Nothobranchius furzeri: one gene and its partner. The protein of the gene in region 1 purifies or fractionates together with the protein of each later gene. This does not show direct contact. Links are inferred from orthologs where the notes say so. Each region holds a gene or a part of one and is shown on either strand. Other genes may lie near its edges.

What was found. Proteins that work in one complex are often made in the same cells at the same time.
Region 2: the proteins of carbohydrate-responsive element-binding protein (region 1) and mlx purify together in Homo sapiens (affinity purification with western blotting; 3 studies listed by BioGRID and IntAct, counting the BioPlex papers as one, with this or other methods). This does not show direct contact. The link is inferred for Nothobranchius furzeri from reciprocal best matches to the Homo sapiens genes MLXIPL and MLX.

The regions. Positions count from the first base shown.
Region 1 is NC_091750.1:66,106,825-66,110,548, forward strand, and holds part of carbohydrate-responsive element-binding protein, read right to left. Parts: intron 2,418-3,724; coding exon 2,335-2,417; intron 2,247-2,334; coding exon 2,157-2,246; intron 1-2,156. UniProt on the Homo sapiens protein: Binds DNA as a heterodimer with MLX/TCFL4 and activates transcription. Binds to the canonical E box sequence 5'-CACGTG-3'. Plays a role in transcriptional activation of glycolytic target genes. Involved in glucose-responsive gene regulation.
Region 2 is NC_091745.1:7,588,628-7,592,866, forward strand, and holds the start of mlx (max-like protein X), read right to left. Parts: upstream 3,004-4,239; 5' UTR 2,931-3,003; coding exon 2,904-2,930; intron 2,170-2,903; exon of another isoform or gene 2,102-2,169; coding exon of another isoform or gene 2,090-2,101; coding exon 2,053-2,089; intron 1,927-2,052; coding exon 1,837-1,926; intron 1,281-1,836; coding exon 1,171-1,280; intron 1,076-1,170; coding exon 973-1,075; intron 1-972. Other genes in the region: fmnl1a (formin-like protein 1), read left to right, coding at 4,074-4,239. UniProt on the Homo sapiens protein: Transcription regulator. Forms a sequence-specific DNA-binding protein complex with MAD1, MAD4, MNT, WBSCR14 and MLXIP which recognizes the core sequence 5'-CACGTG-3'. The TCFL4-MAD1, TCFL4-MAD4, TCFL4-WBSCR14 complexes are transcriptional repressors.

The sequences.
Region 1 (3,724 bases):
TAATGCTGAGCCGTGCTCAAGTAAAATTGCACGGGGCTCTAAAGGACAGGGGGTGGGCTTAGCAAGAAAAATAACTGACATATTGTCTACATGGTAAATGGCTTGTATTTGATATAGCACCTTCTAGAGTCCAATCCACTATCAGTCATTCACCCATCTTCCCTGAACCAGAAACCAGCGATGCAGGAGGAAACAGGATAGTGCAAGGCCGTTTTCTAGGTTCAAACGTCTTTTGTTGTACGTGACTTCCAACTGCGTCAATGTCAATGTCAAGTTTATTTATATAGCACATTTCCAACAATCAGAGACTGCACAAAGTGCTGTACACAGACAAGCAGTTAAAATAAAATGATAAAACACTGAGAACCATCCAGTAGACCCAAAAATTAATTAACGATAAAATCAGTTAAAAGCAAGTGTAAAAAGGTAGGTTTTTAAAAGAGACTTAGCAGAAAGGCTGTTAGCAGACCCAATCTGTAGGGGAAGGCTGTTCCAGAGCTTGGGAGCGGCCACAGAAAAAGCTCTGTCGCCTCTGGACTTCAGCCTAGACTTGGGAACAGATAATAGATGTAGAGCGGATGATTGAAGGTTTCGTTTGGGGACATGAGTGTTTAAACGTTCCGACAGATAAGGAGGGGCCAAATTGTGTTGTGCCTTAAAACAGATCAGTAGCATTTTAAATTGAATCCGGTAAGTGATCGGGAGCTAGTGAAGAGCTTGTAAGACGTGTTATGTGATCTCTGTGTCTCCTACCTGTCTCCTACCTGTCAGCAAGTGAGCTGCCGCATTCTGAGCCACCTGCAAGCGGTGAATTGGCGACTGCTCCAGTCCATGATAAAGAGAGTTGCAGTGGTCTAATCTCGACGTGATTAGCAGGTGTATAACCTTTTCAAAGTCTTTGAGTGGTAAATAGGGCTTGACTTTACTGAGAACACGCAAATGAAAGAACACACTCTGGACAACAGAACTTATCTGTTTATCAAGTTTAAAATGGCCATCAATTGAAAAACCCAGATTTCTTGCCTGAGACACGCAAAAGGATTCTAATGGGCCAAATACACTGTTTACCCCGTGCAACAGCCCAGGGTCCCCAAAAACGACAATTTACATCTTTTGGTCATTTAAAGTGAGAAGGTTCAATTGTAGCCAGTTTTAACATCTTTTAGACAATTCAGTAATTTGTCAAACAATGGCCTTCGAGAATGTAGTGGGACATATATATGCACATCGTCCGCAAAGAAGTGATACGAGATGCCATGCTTATGAAAGATGGCGCCAAGAGGCAACAGATACAGCGAGAACAAGAGCGGGCCCAAAACTGAACCTTGAGGGACACCACAACTAAGTTTCACTGGAGACGAACAACACTGCCCCATATTTACTGCAAAAGTCCTGTCAGGTAGGACTTAAACCACTGCAACACTGAGCCCAGGATGCCAACGTCATGCTCTAGGCAGGATAAAAGGATCTGATGGTCCACCGTATCAAACTGTGTTTTTCTTTTTGGGACTCTGGTAGTTTGTCCTAAAGTTGAAGTGATAGCAGCCGGCTGTTTCTCCTGTTCTGATATTATTGAGTGGAGAACCTCTCACACCAGTGGTGATCTGTTGCTAAATACACGAGTGTGTGATGAACCGTGGAGGACCCAGGGGAGTGTGGTGGTTCTGAGAGGCCGACCACAGAATGGTCCAATAGGTGCTTTCAGTCCACTTTAATTTGACTTGCCTTGACATAATCATCAAACACCAGAAAGCAGCTTCCCGTTTGAACTCATGCATGCTGAAGACATAACTCCTCTTCAAACCCTGAGCTGCTCCATCACCTTCAGGTCCTGATTTTCTCTTGTCTAGCTGGTTCTGGTGGATCTCAGAGCTGAGCTAAAAATCTTGCAACCATCCAATCACATTGAAGTGATGTCATATCTCCATGACTCAAGCAGAAAGGGCCTGGTACTATCAGTATAATTCTCTATCGACTCACTGGCTGAAAGTGGTTTTTGCTCTTTCCAAAATGTTAGAACTCTAAAATGACTGTTCCATTTATAATAGATTTTATCATAAAACCCAGATTTATGCAGTTTGGAACATTTAAATAAAACTGTGCTAGAGGAAATATTTCCATATTGAGCATTGAATGTTTAAAGGAGGCAACCTCACCCTCTTCTTATAGTAAATCCTCCACTTGTGATACTCTTTGATCACCACTTCAATCCTCCTCTTCCAGTAACTGCCTTCCAGTATGATCGCCTGTCACCCAGAAGGAAAACTCAGTTCAGTTCAGGGACTTCTGCAAAGAAATAAACGTTTTCCCTCTCCCTTCAGAGACATCGCTCACTTCAGGTTTCCGATGTGCTTCTGCCTCCGAGCCTTCCAGCGGCGTGACAAACCCACACACTGGGTTCTTCCTTTTCTCCACATCTGAGCACAGAAATGATCAAACTTGTAGCTGATCTTTACATAACCAAAACGGAAAAGCAGTTTGTTTTGGACTTTACTTTGTTACTAGGGATGTCTCGTTCCGATATCGAAAATAATTCCTTATCGACCCAAAAACACTGTATCGGATTATATCGGACTGCATCAAAAATCTCCGATATAAGCAATCCGTTAAGGTTCACATTTTAGCAACCAATGGTTAAAAACTAATTGTTTTTTTTTTTCAAACTTACTGTTATTGGTTCTTGTTTTTCGATTGAGTAATATCACTTGATCAAGCCTTTCACACATTCCACACTACGAATCGTATCGGTATCGGTCAATAATGAAGGCTGCAATATTGGTATCGGAAGTGAAAAAGTTGTATCAGGACATCCCTAGTTGTTACAGATGATAAGAACCAAGAAATGAATGGAGAATTAAAAAATAGCAATTCTTAAATAACAACATAAACAATGGGAAACTATAAAACAGGTTTTTCACAAATTTACATGAGATTTGGAAAATAGGAGAATGTATTGGACAAGATCCCAAATAAAGGTGACCTTCTTATACGTCTTTCAATGGGTGTCATAAATAAGAACAGAAAAAATGGGAGTTCCTGCTTCTTCTCATCAAAAGGAGTCAGTCGAGGTGGTTTAGACATTTAACGACTCCTGATCACCTGAGGCAGACCCAGAACTTGGTGGAAGAGTTATGTTTCCACTTGGGAATGCTTCAGGATCCCTAGGAGGAGCTAGAGAGAGTCGGAGGATCACGGGATGTCTGTACTTCCCTCTGTAACCCAACCGTGTTACCCCCATCAGGAATGTCAGGAAGGTGAGGGAAAGTACGATGGCTCAGCTGCCGTGTCTCCAGATAAAATTGTCCCTTTCAGGATTTTCATATCAGCGTATTACGACTATTACAGCAATCTCACGATGCATGACATTTGCACAGAAAACAAGTGCCTTGAGATGACTCTTGTCGTGATTTGGCGCTATATAAATAAAATTGAATTGAATTGAATGACATCACTGATCAGCGCCAAAAGGCGCCCATGGACATTAGTGACATTAAGAGTATTATCTTGCCAACTTATGCTATTATTTAATCCACTTGGGGGATGGGAGAGCAGCTGTGTGATGTAAAAACCTCACCAGCAACTCCTACAGTTTTACAAATGCTGGTTGAAGACATCTACCCATACTATTTCGAATTACAACTAAGCAGCATGAGAAAATCACAAGTCCTGGCCACGACTCTACCAGGCACTCAGATACTCCTTTGGTTCCTGACATAGCTCAGAA
Region 2 (4,239 bases), on another chromosome or scaffold:
ACACCGGAAGTTTAAACGTGGGGGTGTCGTTACAACTTCTCCATTTTGTAAATGAGCATTTGTTTAAACAAGAACGTTTATGTTCTCCTGATCCCAGTCATGTGATTGCGAGTATGTGCTGATACCGTGTCCCGATCCGATACTTCAGCAACGCAATTAAAATAAGAAAAAAGAATACATCCAAGTTCTCCTCTTTATTATTCATCTTTATTTCTTCTGGTATTTTTGTCATTTCCTTAATTTATTTGCCAAATAAATCACTCGTTCAAGAAGTGAATTGATTAAAAGTATGTTAATAATATGAATATATTATTAATAACAGATAAGGTGCCTCGTCGCCGTGCTGAGTGATGTGCATGGCATGATGTGCACGGTCGGCAGACTCACTTTTCTCTGCTCAACACCTGCAGAGCTGCGTGTGACGAGAAGGAAACTCACCGCGGCTCCAGGAGACCCGACGTTTGCAACCATCTTGACGGCGACACGTTAGCTCTGTGTTAGCCTGCTAGCTAACAGCTACATGTTATAGTGTCTGAACTCCACGTCTGTAAATTTTGTGACGTTTCTCTCTATGAAACAAAGAATATTGACGTAGCAGAACTTGTTCAAATTCAACCTAAGCCATTGTTATTCAGTTTAAAAATTTGTATAAGGATGAATGTAAAAGGTCACGTCCTTTCCCACCTGATTCCGAATGATTCCTGATCAAGAGATCGAGTCGGAGCCTCCCCAGGCAGCGGCTGGAGGTTTACTTTAAATATATGCAAACTGCTCAGCCTATTAACAGTGTCTGATTTGTTATTTTATGGCTAATAAAGTTGAAGAACAGCAGCAGGGAGGGCTATTCATCATGTCTCACGCATAACCTGCACATTTTAAAATAACTAAAAGGTTTTATTATTGTTTGTACAGAGTTCTTTTTTTCTACCAACAGTTCAGTGTAAAAATGTTCAAATTGCAAAAGGTTCCTACTTTTCTGCAGAACAGTAGCCTTGCTGATCTTCTGGGCTCCAACTGCAAACTCAGACTGCTGCTGGCACGTAGGAACGATGGACTGCAGGTCACCATAGCCTTTCTAATGACACATAGAAATCAATATTAACTCTTAAACAGCCAGAATTTTAAATCTAACTCTTATAAAGTGTGTCAGTTGGAGTCCTGAAGTCCTACCTTGATTGCATCTCTGCGCTTTTGCTCAGCTTGAGTGTGTGCTTGTCTCCGGCGATCTTTAAAGGAGTCTTTAAATGACGTCTCGTGCCTGTAATCGCTGTCTTCATCATCTGTTTGGGAACAAGCCTCTGACATCTGTACTCTCAATGAACTCATTTGCAATTATTTTCTTGCTTACATATCTGGTGTCAGTTTAAAAACAGAAATTATTTAAATCAAGTTTAAAATGAGAAAAAATGGACGGATGTTTTTAATTTTGTAAATCTTAAAATCGAATGAAAACTTGCATCATTTTTGTGTTGGCTCCTTCTACAATATAACACAGGGCTGTTTCTGTTTCAGCAGCAAATATATGTTTGCTTCAGTCCGGTCAAATTATAGACGGATTTTTAGCAAATGCAAAAAGGTAGAACATAGAGAGTTTATTTATTAAATATGGCAAGTTCACCTTCCCAGACTAGATTTTAAAGCATGAGACGAAATACCATCAAGACTCACCAGACAGGTTTGTGTTTGAATGTGAGACAGGAAACAAAATAAATAAAGGCACCATCTCTGTGATTTGTTGTTTCAACCTTTTCTTTAAGGATAAGGAGTAGTCAAAAGGCACGTTCACACTTATAAACTATCAGCAAGATAAAATCATCTGTGTTTTAAACACGATACCTGTATTTGGTACTGAAGAGGCACTGGTTGAGCCGATACTGTTGGCTCTGGAAACAATGCTTCCCTTTCTAGCAGTTTCAGCAAAGAAACCTGGAAAACAACCCAGATTTTATAAAAAGGGTTAAAAATAAACCCACCATTAACAAAAATGATTTAATTAATCATGTGCTATGTGAAAATGAAAAAGCATTCATTAGAAAAGTAAAAATGACTCACTTGTGTCAAACCCACTGTCACTGAAAGCCCCGTCTGTCTGTCCAGCCATCACCAAGAAGAAGAAAAAGGAAACCAGAAGCTGTGAGATTGGGTTGAGGAGGGGAAATGTGTGCTGCCCTAAATATGTCGACAAAACACAAACAGCAAGCCAATCCAAACCCCACTGAGCACTGTCCTGATTTGTCCAATTCAAGAACAGAAGATAAAATTGCTTCAATCACAGATCTGCTGTTTGATGTAGTGCAGCACAACACAACAGTCCGTGTTTTTATTTATGTAGTTATGTATGTTAGCCTAGATTTCCTCCTGATTCTGGGGGAGAAACTCCTCAAAGGCCTCGTCAGTCTTCAGCAAATAAAGAATCAGACATGTGAGGATTAGTCCTGTATAAACATTGCTCTGAAGGTTGAAGATAAAAATGATTTAAAATACTGTTAATCGACTATTAAACAACTTACAAGAAAAAATACACAGTGCCTTTTTTTATATTTTATTATTAACATATTAGTTTGTATACAGCTGCTGTTGTCACCCAAAAAGTATTTTCAGACTAATTTTAAGAATACGCCAAAAAGTTCTAAATAACCATATTTCCTTGGCTGTTTGTGCATGTAAATATATGTTTTAAACGACTTCATTTGATATGGAAAAACAATTCCGTTTTCAAGGCTTTGTTTACTTAACTAGCATGCTGGCTAACTGCTACAATACGTCACCAAGCTAATGTTAGCTAGCTTTTGAAGCCATGTTCCAACTTTAGCGTTGAGAAAACAGTTGATCACATTCTACTCCACACTCACAAACGCAAAGATACGAACCAAGGGCTGAAAAAGTTGGGTTTTGTGACTTACTTTCCAGTGTTCCTCTGGGTCCGTCATTTTGAAACGCTAAAAAACTAATAGTGCTGCTGCCTTCACGTGACCCGGGAATTCCTATTTTCTCTTCTAGTCTTAGAGGACTAAAAGCACAGAGACAAAAATATTGTTTCAAAAGCTGAACACGTTTACTTCTGTTGTTGCAACACAGACACAAGCCATCAACTGTTTATTAATATTAGCAACAAACTGGTTTAGAAAGTACACAAATGAAACTCCTACGTTATTGAGAGTGCTTGAAAATAACTGTAACAATAAATAAATAAATAAATAAATGTTATCATATATTGTCTCGAAAAAGTATTTGATATTGTTGAATTACAAAATTTAGATACATAAGTTTCTGATAACAGCCATGAGACCTCAAACGCAGCATAACTACACGCAGTAACTAGCCTCGAACGCACGAGGACGCTGTTTTACCTGGTTTGATGGTATAAACCTGTCTTTACCTTATTGACATGACCTGAGATCATCAGACACCCAAACAGATGTGACTAACATACATCTGGCAGCGGCTACTCTCAAGAAACTCTGGGTTCAGGGCAAAGGTATTTTTAATTAATATTTGTTAAACATAAACCACCCAGCTTTTTTAGTCTTGTGTTAGTTTTTTTTTCATGTTGGGCTCTGTATCAAGTGCTGACAGTTATCTTTCACCTTGTCTTGAACACCAGGTTTTTGTTGCAGTCACACACAGGAAGTTACTCTTCTGCTTTTGTGCTTCTGTGGTTTCTGTCTGTGTGACAGAGTGTGTCACATTCTCCTTCCTCTCACATACTGGCCTCTTCAGCAAGCAGAGGAGTTCTCAGTCAGCCAGTGTGGTGCGACGTAGGTGCATTGAGTATTTCTCGTAGCAGACCCTAACAAAGAGTTTGACTTTGACAGAAACCTGTAGACAAGAGATGTTAATGAGGAGACAAACATGAATGCATACCTTGTTTTTTCACCATCCACCCTTTCCTCAGGACAAAGGAGGATTCCTTGAATTAGAGTTTGGAGTTCCTCACCTTGACGGTTTCAGACTTGCTTCTTGTCATTTGGAGTGGTCAGCTTTGGTCACTCTGCTTTGGAGTACATTGGTTCTGTTTTAGGTGAAGGGGTTTGTGTACAGCTTTCCTCCTGGATTACATTTGGAGATTAGTGATGGGGAATGTGGCTGTAGGGGGCTCGGAGCATGAGCCGACTGAGGGCAGAGAGGCCAGGAACTCCGTCGGGGCAGCTTCAACAATGAGTGACCCCACGCTAACTCCGCAGAAGAAGCAGCCGGCTCCCCCAAAACTTCCCATGCCCCCAGAGGAGGAGCTGGAGG